Neurospora crassa OR74A: one gene and its partner. The protein of the gene in region 1 interacts with the protein of each later gene in a biochemical or structural test. Links are inferred from orthologs where the notes say so. Each region holds a gene or a part of one and is shown on either strand. Other genes may lie near its edges.

The links. The genes of interacting proteins can lie anywhere in the genome.
Region 2: the proteins of NCU10073 (region 1) and NCU08008 form a complex in vitro, tested with the Saccharomyces cerevisiae proteins (4 studies listed by BioGRID, with this or other methods). The link is inferred for Neurospora crassa OR74A from reciprocal best matches to the Saccharomyces cerevisiae genes ABP1 and SRV2.

The regions. Positions count from the first base shown.
Region 1 is NC_026501.1:4,039,093-4,046,459, forward strand, and holds NCU10073 (actin binding protein), read right to left. Parts: upstream 4,133-7,367; 5' UTR 3,895-4,132; coding exon 3,699-3,894; intron 3,625-3,698; coding exon 1,528-3,624; intron 1,453-1,527; coding exon 1,328-1,452; 3' UTR 1,169-1,327; intron 1,107-1,168; 3' UTR 1,087-1,106; downstream 1-1,086. UniProt on the Saccharomyces cerevisiae protein: Regulates ARP2/3 complex-mediated actin assembly. Recruits ARP2/3 complex to sides of preexisting actin filaments, which may promote nucleation or stabilization of filament branches. Binds to actin filaments, but not actin monomers.
Region 2 is NC_026504.1:3,895,336-3,902,826, reverse strand, and holds NCU08008 (adenylyl cyclase-associated protein), read right to left. Parts: upstream 4,269-7,491; 5' UTR 3,999-4,268; intron 3,849-3,998; 5' UTR 3,746-3,848; coding exon 3,702-3,745; intron 3,439-3,701; coding exon 3,189-3,438; intron 3,121-3,188; coding exon 2,287-3,120; intron 2,230-2,286; coding exon 1,789-2,229; 3' UTR 1,344-1,788; downstream 1-1,343. Other genes in the region: NCU08009 (DNA replication licensing factor mcm3), read left to right, coding at 1-1,236, 1,310-1,343; NCU08007 (PfkB family carbohydrate kinase), read left to right, coding at 5,157-6,638; NCU08006 (hypothetical protein), read right to left, coding at 7,062-7,491. UniProt on the Saccharomyces cerevisiae protein: The N-terminal domain binds to adenylyl cyclase, thereby enabling adenylyl cyclase to be activated by upstream regulatory signals, such as Ras. The C-terminal domain is required for normal cellular morphology and growth control.

The DNA.
Region 1 (7,367 bases):
GTTATTATAATTATTCAGTTGTAGTTATTATTTAATAAAGTAATTTAAGTATCTTCTAATATTATAATATTAAAAAAGAAGATATTAGTGGAAGAAAGGCGTAGCTGAGGGCTGACCTGCGCGGGAATCTCTTTATAGGAATCTTCTTATTTTATTACTAGCCTACTTTATAGGGCGGGTCTATACGACCGGGCAGTTAGGTACGTGCCTGGGTACGTACTTGGGTATGCTAGAGCTTCTAATAGTATTAAGTATAATAGTAGTTATACCTAATCTACTTTAGTTAATTAAATCTAATTATATATACAATACTTCCAATATTATTTATATTAAATATTACCCTACAACCTTATTTATTAACAAACCTTAAATATTTAATATTCTTTTTAGTACTAATATTCCTTATAGTATTTATTTCACTAATTTATTACCCCTATATATACTTAATTTAATTAATTTATTTAATAAACTGTATTCGATATTAGTTTGCTCGGGCTTTTATTTTAATACTTTACTTATTACTTACTTTCTTTCTTGTAACTACCTCCCTGCTAATTAGGAGTAAAATGATCTTTCGTTGGGATTTAAATATTCCGATTTAAATATATAGTATATAAATAAGAACAAGGAAAAGGAGCAGGAGGATTTTAATACTTGCTAGTTTTATTATAAATATAACTAGTAAAGAATTGAATATTGAATTATTAAACTAGAGGCTCTATTTAGGTAATTGTACGTTTTATACACTTAACAATTTATACAAATATAAGTTAATAAATAAAGGTTATAATAAATAATGGAATGTTTTATATATATAGTTAAACTTAATAATATTATATATGTAGTAAATACTCTTATCCTTTTATTTAGGGGGAGATGTTATAGGGTATTCTTAATAAATATTCACATACTCTATTTTATTATAGTAGCCGTTTACTAGGGCGTATAGTTTATTATACAAGAGTATTTTATCCTCTTAACCTTTATTAAAGTTGATACATTATTAATTTATATTATACTAACCTTATATTTATATTGCTTATATTTAGTAAAGTTGTATACGAGGTTCTAAGTTGAGATTTGCGACAATTCTTATTTTTAATTTCCTTTAATAAGACTGTCGTCAATCGTTACGCACTATTACTCTATCTAGCAACCAGTTACTCACTCCATTATTCTCTGTTGTTATCACTTGTAAAGTATATCTTCGCGCAACAACCCTACTGTACATACTAGTTAAGTTTCAGCTGAAAATTATTAAACTAGACTACCGAATAAGCTGATTTTCCATTACCAGCACCGTGGATTTCGACACCTTTGCCTTCAATCATGCATTAAGCTCAACGTAGTTGGCGGGGAACAGACCTGACGCTCCACTGTAGTGGCCAAACCACCAGTCATCATCGGGAAACTCCAAACCCGTAATCGTGGCTCCTTCGGGGAAGCTCAACTCTGTACCGATTCGTTAGTCACTACTAGGCCTGGGTTTCGCGGCTGATATATGCGGGGCTTCCAAGCATCACTTACCATTATCTTCTGCTGCCTCGTAATCAAACTGCGCCGTCGCTGTTGGGCCAGCAACTTGATCGGCCGGAGTTGCAGGTGCTACCGCTTCGGCCTGCGCAGATGAAGGCACAACAGGGGCTTGAGTCGCCGCTACTGTTGGGGCTGCGCTGAAAGCAGCAGCAGGCTCATCGTCTTCCACGACTTCCACGTAGTTGCTAGGGAAAAGTCCACTCTCCCCTTGCGCATTGGTTCCCATCCACCAATCGTCATCCACCATCTGAATATTAGTGACATAGTCACCTTCCTGGAGATCAATCTCATTATCCTCGGCCTTCTCGTAGTCATATTGTACCAGAGCACGCTTGCCACCATCTGAACCAGCCTGCTGAACCTCGACACCCTGGCCAAGAGATTCGCTGGCAACATTCAGGGCAGCAGCACGCGGATCGTGGGTATCCTCCTCTACGGGGAGGTCCTCTTCTTTCGGTAGATCCTGCGATACGGGCACCGGACGGGGCGGCAGATTGCCAGCTGGCTCCACCTCAGGCACTGCGCTCCGAGCAATCGGGACTGCGATGCGAGCAGGGGACGAAGGCTCCTCTTCATGCTGGTCGGCCGGTTCGAGTGCACGGACTTCTTCTTCTAGCTGCCTTTCATCGTTCCCTTCCTCGTCGTCAGCAACAGAAGGCCGGGATGGCAGACCAGGAAGAGCAAAGCCACCGGAAGGACGGCTTCCGGTTGGCAGGGGCGGCGGAGTATGCCCTTCTTCACCAGTGGCCGGGCCGGGAGAAGGCACGCTTGGTGCTGACCGTGACCCCGTACGGACCGCCACAGGTGCCGTATCCTTGAATCTCTCGCGCAGCGCAGATATGCCGCCAGCCGGTGAGGCAGGTGCTTCAGGCTCATATTGCTCTTGCGAGGCGCTTCCTCCGGTTGCGTGTAATTCAAGACCTCGGCTGTAATTGGGTGCCTGCACAGGTGCCCAGCTCTTCCCCGCGTAACCGCTTTTCCATTCGCTGCCGCTCTTCTGGGCAGCAATAGGCGCAGCGGCGGGAGAGGGAGTGGACGCAAATGCAACTGCACCGCCTTGTTTGGCCTTCTTCTCGGCCCAGATTTGGGCCGGCGTCTTGCCTCCCTGATCCGCAAATGTTCTGCTGGCAGCCCCAATAGGAGTAGCGGTAGGAACTGCAGGCGAGCTGAAACCGAGAGGAGCCGGCGTGGGAGCTTTGGTGCCAGTAAATGCAGCGCTGCCTACAAATTTCTTGGCAACTTTGGGCTTGGGAAGTTCGGTCAAGCGTTCTGCTTGCGTAAATACAGCAGTCCTCTCTGCCAGACTCCTGGGCGTCTCCAATTCTTCCGGTTCAGTCGGACGTTGTTGCGCCTTTGCGCGAATGGCGGCAATATCAACCTTGCCCACCGGTTCATAGGCTCCCTTCACGGTTACAGGCCGATCATCATGGGTCTTCTTTGCTTGGGCGCGAAGAGCAGCAATATCAACCTTTCCGATAGGCTGATAACCACCCTTAACAATGTCTTCCGGCCGGTCATTTTGCTTCTGAGTTTCTTCGGAACGCGAGTCATCTTTGTTCTTTCTGAGTTCGGCAATGTTGACCTTGGTCGGCTGGTAGGCAGACGCGACCTTCTCCAGCTGGGTCCGCGTGACTGGCGGTGCGTCGACACCCCAGCCGTCGTCATCTTCGCCCCCGTGATTCCGGATCCGTGCGGCAACAATGGGGTTGAAAGAGCTGGCCGATGTAGAGGTAGTCGGGGTGAAAACGGGCTTCTTTGCAACGGGGGGCGGGGCAACGGCTGACGCGGGTGCCGAACCACCGGCGGTATATTTGGCGCCTGAAGCATCGGCAACCTTTTGCACAATAGACTCGGGAGAAAGGTCTCCGTCGGAGCGTGCTGTTATTTGAACATGGTAGCCGTGAAGAATCTTGGAGACGGCGGCCAAATGGCTGGTAAAGTACCCCTTTGTTCGCTCGGGAACACCACCGCCACACCAGGCAATCAAGACGTTCTTAGGAAGTCCACTGTTGGGGTCCTTGACTTTGACGAAGGCAAATTGAATGCGACCCTCGTTGAAGTCCTCGATCAGGTCGGAAAGCTCACCATCTGTGACGACTGATAATTAGTCGGGCCCATGGATATGGTGGGAAGGAGAAGTTGTGGGCCGGCATGGCACTCACCGCCAGTGCTCTCGACCTTCAGGATGCTCTCTTTTGCCCCAGAGTCTTGGAAGGCATTCAAAAGAGGCGCCTGGACGGAAAAAAGGGCCCAGTGTGCGTAGGTAGGAGATGCCGAAGATGGCGCAGGGCCGTTGATGACGCCCTGATAGCTGCTCTTAATGGAGGGCCCGTGGATGGACAGGTTTAAGGAGGCCATGGTGGGCGGAGTGGCCAGCTTTGTAGAGCGGGATGGATGGGTAAACGACGCGAAGGAGCTGGAGCGTTCAGCAATCGGAATATCGTGAATTGCTGATAGCTGCAGCAACGGCTACAGATTGTTGGTGATCTAGACGTCGGTCGGGTCGATATTGGAGGTCGAGAGCAAGATGAAGGTTCCGGTGTTTGGAGGCGCATGGACGGGACAAGTCGTTAGAGCTACGCAGCGCTGAAGTTAGGTACCCTTTAGGTACCTAGGTAGGTAAGTGGAAGTTGGGGTGGAGCTCCATCCGCGCACATATGTCAATACACTACTACACCTCTGCATAGCTTTGAAATGTTAGCGCGGTACAGCCAAGGCGCCAGCCAAGCCACTAATCCTATAGAAAACTAGGATTGTAATACAGCTAGGATTCTCATTTATTGTAATAGTAGTTAATAATATCTTCATCTGCCTTAATAACCTTTCTTATCCTCTCCAGCATTGAATAGGCTATAAAGGATTAGAGTAGTAATATCGTAAGGGATAGTTATTGCTTGTTATAGTAGAAATGATAACAATAAGAAAACGCTTCTACCGATTCCTAGAAATTTATATTACAGAGTTTTAGTACCTTACCCAAAATATTATTAAAAAGGTTATATTAAAATACTTCTTGCTGGTAGTTCTGCTAACTCTCTACTCATTTGCAAATTATTATACTTGTATTTTAGATTTATATATAGGTGTATATAACTAGGACTACTCGTTCTCTGCCCTCTTCTACTTTATAGGACCTTACTAGACTCGTATTTCTAAAGTAGGTACCTATAAATAATAAAACTATATAAGAAAAATACCTACTAGGGTTAGAGAGATAATTTATATTAAATATAATAAAATAATATGTATTTATAATCTAATAGTTATTTAAAAGTAAAAAGAGAATTAGAAAATAGTTAGAACAAAGTAATATACTTATCCATTAAGCTTTTTCTCTTTTACAATTTTCTATATATTAAAAAGTTGTTACTAGATATATACGATTAGCTGTAGATTAGAGTACTGGGCTAGTTAGACTACTTAATTGAGCTGTACCTAGCACTATAGCCGGAGTACGCTTGGTACTATAGTCGAGCGTATGGTAGCTAACTACTATTGGTAGGCGGGCCGGGAAGTAGGGAATCTACCCCTATAAACTAAGGTAAATCCTTATTCTAACTAGGGTCCTTATATAAAAGGATCCCTAGTTAGGCCGGCTGTTAATTGTAAAATTTCCTTCTATATTTCACTTTCTTACTATAAGGGGACAGTAGAGCGATATGTAGGTGCTGGCCTTATGTGTATATATTAAAGTTCTACGAAGAAAGAAAGGATAAAACACTACCCTCCGGGTCGCTCGAGTACTAGAGTTTAAATAGCCGTATATTCTAGTAGCTACCTTATAGCCTAAAAAACTGCTTTGAAACCGGAAACGCCGATTTCTAGTCGAGGAGTACTCTAAAATGAAAATTAATAACAGCAATCGACTTAGGAGGGTCGTTTACGTTCCTTACAATATCTTACGACGAATATAGCAATAGTATTGTATTGTCGTTGCCGATAGCTATTAATAGCAGTACTTGTAGATTTGAAAATAGTATCTACAACCCGCTTGCGGAAATCTCAATATATAACAATTCTAAAGCCGTACTTACTATAAAGACTTTAAATAAAATAAATAAAGATAATAAAATATTAAAGAAATTTATTGTTAAAGCGAATAAATTTGCGGACTATAATATTATTTCGACTAAGGACCGTCGTTAAATTCGAGAATTACTTCTTAAATTTATAAAGGTATACGTTAAAAAAAGTAGGTTTATATAACCCGAAGTTAGTAAAGTTAGAATCGATTAATTTATTATTAAGAAGGATTTTAATAATTTAAAGAAGGATATTTTAAAGGAAATTAAGAAAGGCGTTTAGGAAGTATTAAAGTATTGGGCCGATATTATAGTAAAAGTTAGCCCGAGTAAAATTAGTACTATCTTTTAATAATTATTTACTATTATTAAAAAATTTATCCCCTTTAACTTTGAGTAATAGTTTATTATTAAGGGAATAATAATTACTATTAAATTTATAAACTATTTAAAGAAAGATATGAAGACGACCCTAATTATTTATTTAAGTAAAAAGAAACTTAGCCTAATAATTTATATAGCTATTAGAATATTAATAATTAATAACTACATAATTATATTTAATAAATTTATATATATTTAGTACTAGTAAAATTAAATATAGATTAAAGATATTTTCGGCCCCAATATTTTTATTACTATAAATATTATAAGCGTATTGGTTTAGGGCGTACCCTAGGATAATATTAATAATTATACTATAATGGAAGTTATTTTAAATATAATAAAGGAGAGGAATTTAGAGGTATTTATTATTAGAGTTTAGTTATAGAAGAGAAGGGACGGAGAGAATAGAAGTTTATTCCTTATAGAAGTCGCTACTATATTAGCGGTGTACTTCCTTTAGAATAACCTCTTCCTTTAAAATAGCGGCGTATATTTATACAAATGATTCTAAACTTTAAATAATATTTAATAATACTTTAAATATTAAGGAATTGGATATATAATAAGATTCTACTATTAAATTAATATTTATACCTATTATAGCGAAGTTAAATATAAAGGAGATTATTTTAACGAAGTAAATTGTCTATTTAATAATAATAAATTACTTATTTATTATAAATTATATAGGAAGAAGGGGTATTATACGTATAATTATAAAGAATGCCCTATTTTCTAAAAGGTAATTATAAAAGCGTCCGTTGCGTATGTTGAAAGGCTACGGGCATTCGCCCCCTATAAGAACTTAACTGGAAAGGTATTAGAACCAATAATAGAGATTATAAATAAGGGTATTTTACTAAACGCCCCCCTTAGCTCTTGTACTATTATTACTTTAGAGAAATATATTGGAGGAGGTATAAAAAGGGGACGGTTAAAAAAATTAATTGGCCTATCCGCCCGGCTAAAGCCTATAACCTTATGAAATTTAATAGATAGATATTATATATATTTATAGAATATAGGGGAAAGTTGGTTATATAGTAGTAATAGTATTTATATAATTATAGCCCCCCTTAGGGAAGTAGTACCCTTATTTTCCGCCGAGGGATTAAAAGGAACCCTATCTTAGGGTAATTAATAGTTTAATTAAAAATATTTTATTAGAATATAGGGAAGTTGTATAAGAGGGGAAAATTTCTATTTAAATAAGAGGAGATTTATAATATTATAGTAATTTAAAAATTAGGTAAAAATTGTAATAGGGATATTTATTATCCTAGAAGCGGAAGGTATTTTAAGGTTAATTATTTAGAGAAGGGAAGGGCGGTAATATATATAAATAAAAAATAGAATTTAAAGGATTTAAATTCTTGAACTGGAAAGGATTAAACTATAATTATATTTAAAAATTTGAAGGAT
Region 2 (7,491 bases), on another chromosome or scaffold:
TCCTGTGCGCGAGAACGCCGGTCAGGCCCTCAACGTCGCCCTCAACGGGCAATCCGAGTCCCAAAAGCCCACCGAGATGTGGGAGAAGTACGACGCCATGCTGCATGCCGGAATCAAGGTGCCCAGCGGCCGCGGGTCTGCCAACAAGAAGCCCGAGATCCTCAGTATCCCCTTCATGAAGAAGTATATTCAATACGCCAAAACGCGCATCAAGCCGGTACTGACGCAGGAGGCTTCCGACCGCATTGCTGACATCTACGTGGGCCTGCGCAACGACGACATGGAGGGCAACCAGCGCAAGACGTCGCCCATGACGGTCCGTACGCTCGAGACGCTCATCCGTCTGGCCACCGCCCACGCCAAGGCACGCCTGTCCAACCGCGTCGAGGAGCGTGACGCCGCCGCTGCCGAGTCCATCCTCCGCTTTGCCCTTTTCAAGGAGGTGGTCCAGGACGAGTCGCGCAAGAAGCGCAGAAAGACCCGACCCGCCGAGGGCGAGGATGGCATGTCCTCCGACTCTGACGACTCTGATGACGATGACGACGACGTGGCAACTCAAACCACCACAGCCCGCTCCAGCGCTGCCAGAGCTTCTCGCGCTTCCCGCGCTTCCCAACGCGCCAGCCGACGCACTCCCGCCAATGGCGCTTCCTCCTCCTCCGCAGCAAACGCCAACGGCACTCCCAGAGAGGAAGAAGAAACCCAAGGAGCAGAAGAAGAGGAAGAAGACATCTACGACGCCACCCCGCGCCGCTCAACAAGATCTGCTCGCACAACCGGCGACTCACAACCATCCTTCGCCTCTTCCCTTCCCGCCTCGCAACTTCGCTCCACTCGCTCCCAACGATCATCTCGTCGCACCGCTCAGAACCAAGACGACGAAGAAGAACTCGCCTCCGGAGCCGCCAACCTCAACGTCGACGAAGACGAAGACGAAGAAATGGACGTTGACGGCGAAGCCGCCCCAGAAAACCAAGAAGAGGAAGAGGAGGAAGAAGAGGAAGAAGAAGATGAGGAGCCAGCACCAATAAGCGAGCACCGTCTTGACGTTTTCCGTCGGGCGCTCGGTCCGTTGTTGAACTCGGGACTTTTCGAGGACGACGCTGCGGATGTGGATGAGCTGATCAAGGCTGTTAATGAGAAGATTCCCGGAGGCAGGAGAGGCGGTGAACAAAAGTTTGAGAAGGAGGAGGCGCTGCAGGCGTTGAGGGAGATGACGGAACGGAATCAGTTGATGTGAGTTACCCTTCGCTTGATATTGTGAGGTGTGATGATGTCGAGGAATGATGCTAACGCTGTTTGATGATAGGTATACCGATGGTCAGCTAGTGTACAAAATCTAGTCTGGTGGACTGGAAAGGTTAAAAAACCGAATTGATGCTGTGTCTAGGAAACAGGTAGAGATGATTTTAGGTGGGTCATAGATATGGATGAGAAAAGTACTACGGCGGAAATGGTCTAGACAGAGAGACATGCCATAAACAGCCAAGTTTTGTCATTGATAGGCAAAGGTGTTCGGCGTTTTTTTCAATTGAAATAGGAACGTCATGAGATGATATGGTTCTTGAAAATGATGATGGGTACTGTCGAGTTGGCATACCTGCGGGATTGAAGATGATTTCACGCCCGCTTCAGAACATGCCATCCACGAATATTCAAATCAAGGCGTGCTATTATGTAAATTGGAGAATATGTGACAACAACGCTCACGATCAGAACCAAACGCCACCTCGCATCAAGCTACTCACTTTTTCCGACAATCTCGACGAAGCAGCGACCAAATATGAATTAACCACAGTGAGAAACGATCTCGCTGATAAGCTCCTTCTTCTCGGGATCGTAATACGAGCAGATTTGGGAAGGAAGAGGAAGCTCCTTGGAGTCGTCGTTCTCGTCCACAACCATGATATTGACGTTGTCCGTCTTGCTCTGGAACACCCTTGTCGAGATGCTCTCCTTGCTCAGCCAGATTGTGGCTTGCTCGACTTGATCCAAAAGCACAGTGGGGATCGTCTCGTTGACTTGGAGCTGGAAGTTCTTGGACCTGACAACGTCGACAGTAGAAACAAGAGTGTCCACAATAAGCGACACCTTGTCGCAGTTGTCAATGTTGACAGCGTTGGCCTTGCCCTTGACGACGATGACGACTTCATTACACCTGCTGATGAGGATGGACTGGGAAATGGAGGCCTCGATCTCAACGTTGCCAGCGGCAGCATCGTAGTTTTCCTAAAGCACTGTCAAAAACCTTGAATTTACACCACAATGTCCGGCTGGAGAACTTACAATAATCCACTTGTTGCCCTCGAGAGCCTTCTTTGCAGGTTTCTTCGCACGCATACTCTCAGGCTTGGGCGGCTTGGTTCCAGGCGGCGCAGGGCTCTTGGACCGTGCCGCTGGTCCGTCGGGAACGGTTGATCCTGCCCTGAGGGAAGGGTTCTTGTGTGTCATCTGCGACTTGTCGACCTTCTTGAGACCCTTTGTAACTGCTTCGCCCTTGTTGAGCTCAGACATGACGGAACTGAAACCACCCGGTTGGGCCGGTTCCGCCTTCTGCTCATTAATCTTGAGTACCGGAGGAGGTCCAGGAGGAGGAGGTGGCGGAGGAGGAGCTCCTCCGGACGGGGCTGGAGACGCGGCAGGTGCCGAGGGAGCGCTGCCGGATTCAAGACACTGGACGACCTCCTTGTAAGGCTTGCCGTTAGGGTTCCACACAATGCCGTTGTTGTAGTAATCCTTGGCATATTCCGACAAGTCTTTGAAGATCTGGTAGAAGGTCTTGACCCATTCTGTATGCTGGGGATCAGTGTTTTTGTTTGCCTGCATGACTCTGTTGCCCAGGTATTCGGCAGATGACAGGCTTTCATCAATGAGCTTGTCAGGCCTAGACTGAACAGTGATCCAAGCGAGGAGCATGATTCCATCGGCCACCATGCCGAGGTGGTTGAAGAAGGGAGAACCGCGGTTCTTGTCCTTGATTTCCTGAGTGGCCTGGATGGCCTCGCTGATAGGCTTGATAGCCTCCTGGAAATCGACCGAGTTCATGTCGAGCTTCTTGGACTGGGAGGCGGCGAGTAGGAACTTGCGCGTCTCGGCAAATCCCTTGAGGACACTCGCAGCCTGATAAAAATGGTCAGCTTCCCGCTCTCTGCCCACAAAATAGATCCAGAACTGTGCAGGATAGGTACCTGCTCAGCAACCAAGCCACCGATAAGATTGCTGGTCTTAACATATTTCTGAACAGTTTGGTTCAAGAAGTCGTCGAACTTTTCGACAGATTCGGGAATTGGTACTGCGGCAGCGGGTGCAGGAGTGGACACAGCAGTGGACGCGGGGGCGGAGGGGGCGGAGGAAGCCGGCTCAATGACGGCCTGGGAGCCAATAGGGGGGATGGTGGACGAAGCCATATCCTCCAGACGGAGGGTGGCCGCCTCAAGTCTGCGCAAGTACTTAGCAACGTGCCTTGACCATTATTCACTCGTAGTCTTTTTTTTTTCTTTCTCGCTTTGCGCCGATTTTTCTGGCGCATTCCTTGCTCGGGGACTGGATCTTCGTCGTCCTAGCCTCAGAGCGGCTCCCATGGAATCGGCATGGCTAAGAATGCGCCAGGTAAAATAATGGGCAATGCGGGTGTTGTAGAAGAAAGCAACTATTCGTAGGTGTGGCGATATCAAGTTGCGGTAAAGAAAGCTGAAGCGTACCTCTTGATCAAGGTGACCAAGTTGTGCATATTGTTGGTCGCCATTGTGATTATGATGGTCCCTTAGGCGGGACTTTGGAAACGTAGTAGGCTTCGCGGTCGAGTAATATAGAAGTTGGAAGGAGCAAGGTGTACTCTGTGATTAGAACTGTCGGTGCCAGCTTGCGGTATTAGCGATCCTGCCTTGATGATGATGTGAAGAGAGTGCCGTGGGCAGACCCGGATACCTCCGGTGGAAGAGAGCTCGTTGAAACAGAGGGAAGGTATCGTCCTGAATATCTTGATGAGAAGCACTTACCCTTTTCGCTGAACCGTATAATTTACAAGGAATAAGAAGATATCGCTAGATGGAGAAAGAGGAAGAAAAGAGTCCCGAAACTTGCACAAGGAGGAGGTCTGGGAAGGTGTAGTTAGGTGCCCCAAGATCTGCTGTGCTGGAACATGGGATGTCTGAAGGTTGACGGTCCGGGCTGACAACTCGTCGATTGGAACCCCTCGTCACACAACCCCTACCTAGCACGGGCATCTGCCCCTGGCGCCTGCCATGCTTGTACACTGCCTACGGGCGGCCACAGTGTACGGGGCACACCTTCTGTAGACGCAGCACGCTAGGTGATGAGCTGCTTCCCCACGATAGCTTCATAGTGGGGTCATGGTGGGTCGTCTCATCCATCGTTTAAAATTACGCGTTTCGGGACATCCTCCAACAAGAAAGAACGAACACCTTGCTGGCCGCTCTCACGACTCTGCAGTAGACTAGAGTGCACGGCCACCAAAAGCCCGCTGGGCGTACAGGCACCATCCACGCCTCATATCCACATATGAGTTACCACCTCACCAAGCATACCTAAACAAAAACAACAAGTCACATCGTGCTACTGCAACCGGATCAACAACAAGCACTCTCCCCGTTCAGAAGCTCGCTGCTTGTTTAGCTGTGTATATACGAGAACGGTAATGCTGATGCTGATGCTGAAGACTTGACATGAGTAGGTCTGCACAAGCAGTCATTTAAAGTGTCGAGGATCGAGATGACAGGATCGATCCCATAACCTCCCGTCCCGCGGGTCCGTCCCCTTTCTCCATTCCTACGCCTCGCAGTAAAAAACCTACCCCAGATAGCTGATTCTAGCTAATAAGACGTTGAGTTATCAAAACATCAGGCTCTTTATGCTTTATGCCGCCTGATGGTCAGGCAGAAATAGCAGACTAGCAATAGAGGTAGCCTAGCCAGTAGCCACATCAATATCTACATACGCGTCCATCTTTCCAAATAGGTCTTCATCCCTCCATCGGTGTCTCACTCTCATAACCCCTTTCAGTGTCACTCACTTACATAGCCCACACCCACCTGTTGTCTATCATCGCCTGGCCGTTGCCGCGTCGTACTCGCATACACTCCTTTCAAGCGTCCACTACAATTGATTGATCCTACACAGTCACCACAGAGAACAATATGACAGACAATAACGGCAACCCGGAAGTGCCCGGCCAAAGTCCAGACGATGTTGACAAAGCCTCGGATGAGAGCTCAGAATGGCAAGATATCAACGACACTCCCTCAATAATAGACTTTGTCACCCTCGGCATGTTCATCATCGGTAAGTGCCCAGGAACCACAATCAGGCACCAACTAAGCACCCCATCAGATGAAATCGAATACCCTCCGCCCCGTCCTCCATCAACCAACGTCTTAGGAGGCGCCGGCTCCTACTCCGCCCTCGGCGCCCGCCTCTTCTCTCCAGCTCCGGACCTCTCCCGCACCGTGGGCTGGATCGTCGATCAGGGCTCCGACTTCCCCCAGGCCATCACCGATCTCATCACCGGCTGGTCCACCTCGGCCGTCTTCCGCCATGACCCCACCCGGCTCACCACCCGCGGCTGGAACGGCTACGTCGGCTCCTCGGAGCGCCGCGAATTCAAGTACACCACTCCCAAGAAACGACTGACGGCCGCCGACCTGGTCGGAACCCCCTTGTTGAAGGCTAAAGCCGTGCACATGGTCTGCAGTCCCAACCGCTGCAAAGAGTTGGTGGAGGAGATCATCACCCTTCGCAAGCGCGAAGCCCGACTTGCTGCTGCTGCCGCCTCCAACAAGAACAACAACAATAACGACAACGACGACGATTGCGACGATGTTGATGACGACACCAACGACCCCAACGCCTACACCCGCCCCTTAATCATCTGGGAACCAGTCCCCGATCTCTGCACCCCCTTCGAGTTACTAAACTGCACCAACGCCCTCCCACTGGTCGACATCTGCAGCCCCAACCACGCCGAGCTAGCCGGGTTCATGGGCACCGACGGCCTCGACCCGGAAACGGGCGAGATCAGCGTCGAGCAAGTAGAGCGCAACTGCGAACAGCTGCTGGCCAGCATGCCGCTGACGACGTACACGCTGGTGGTCAGGGCCGGGGAGAAGGGCTGCTATGTTGCCAAGAATGGGGGGCGAAGGAGGAAACAGCCACCTATGAAAAGGGGAAAGAAGAAGAAGATGAAGGTAGGGCTGGACGCCCGAAACTTCCACGGCGGTCTACAGCACGACACAGACATGATGTCTCTCTTTGCCGGACTTTTGCAAGATATGGAAGACCGGAACAACGAGGATGACCCGTTCGGTCGTTTCGATGTCGAGGAGGGGATCGAGGTCGATTCGGGGATCGAGAGGTGGCTGCCCGCTTACCACACGGACGCCACAAAGGTCGTCGATCCCACGGGAGGTGGGAACACGTTCCTGGGTGGGTTGGCGGTGGCGTTGGCGAGGGGAAAGAGCATCGAGGAGGCGTGTGCGTGGGGCAGCGTGGCAGCAAGTTTTGCCATTGAGCAGGTGGGAGTACCGGAGCTGGGGATGGATGTGGAGGGGAGAGAGACGTGGAATGGGGAGAGGGTGGAGGAGAGGTTGAGTGGGTATCTGGAGAGGGTCGGATTGTTGTGAGAGCTTTTTGTGATGTTGATGATTGAGTTAGAGACGTGACGGCGGGTTGACTTGATCATACCTAACGGCTAGAGAGATGGTCACAAAGATAACAGGGATGAGAGAAAGAGTTGATTGTTATGACCTTTAGGAAACGTATAGACATAGAACGACTATCTGGGTTGAAACTTTCGCAACCTTATAGACCTAACTACCAAGACATACAATGCGCCACGCTCAGCTTTTCGTAACAGTGATATCATGCCTTTGAACATCGAAAACCCATCCGTTTAACTCCAGAACCTGCTAGCTAGACGCAGAAAAACCGCTTGAATAATCCATCTTCATCATGACATTATTCCAACAACGTAATCATTCGTTCATCACCCACAGAAATCATCCTTCTTGGATCCAAGTAGGCATCCAAACTTGCTATCATGCCCACTAAGCATTGGTAACTGTCAGCCTCTTCTTATCCTGCCTCCCTCCCTCTGTTATATCCTCCGAAAAGCCAAACCCACCAGCCATGCCCTCCTCAGCCACCTTCCCACTGACATGTCTTTGCCTACCTGCTCCTGCTCCGCTATAACTGAAATCGTAGTCATGGCCAGACGAAACCACCCGGTAATTAGCAGGGTGGCCTGCAAGCAAAGTTGAAGGTATGTCAGAGGTACTAGGATCGTAGGGCTTTGCTCCTCCTCCTTCTCCTCCTCCTCCTCCTCCTCCGCCGCCGGAAATGGCAGCAGAAGAAAACAAAGCCTCGGGTTGAATGGAGGAATCTCGGTTCCTCATTGGTTCCTGGCTGTCTGGTTGAAGATGTTGGGTTTTCGGAGGTTGGCGGACTTTCTTGATGTTCAACGGGTTCAAATTCAAC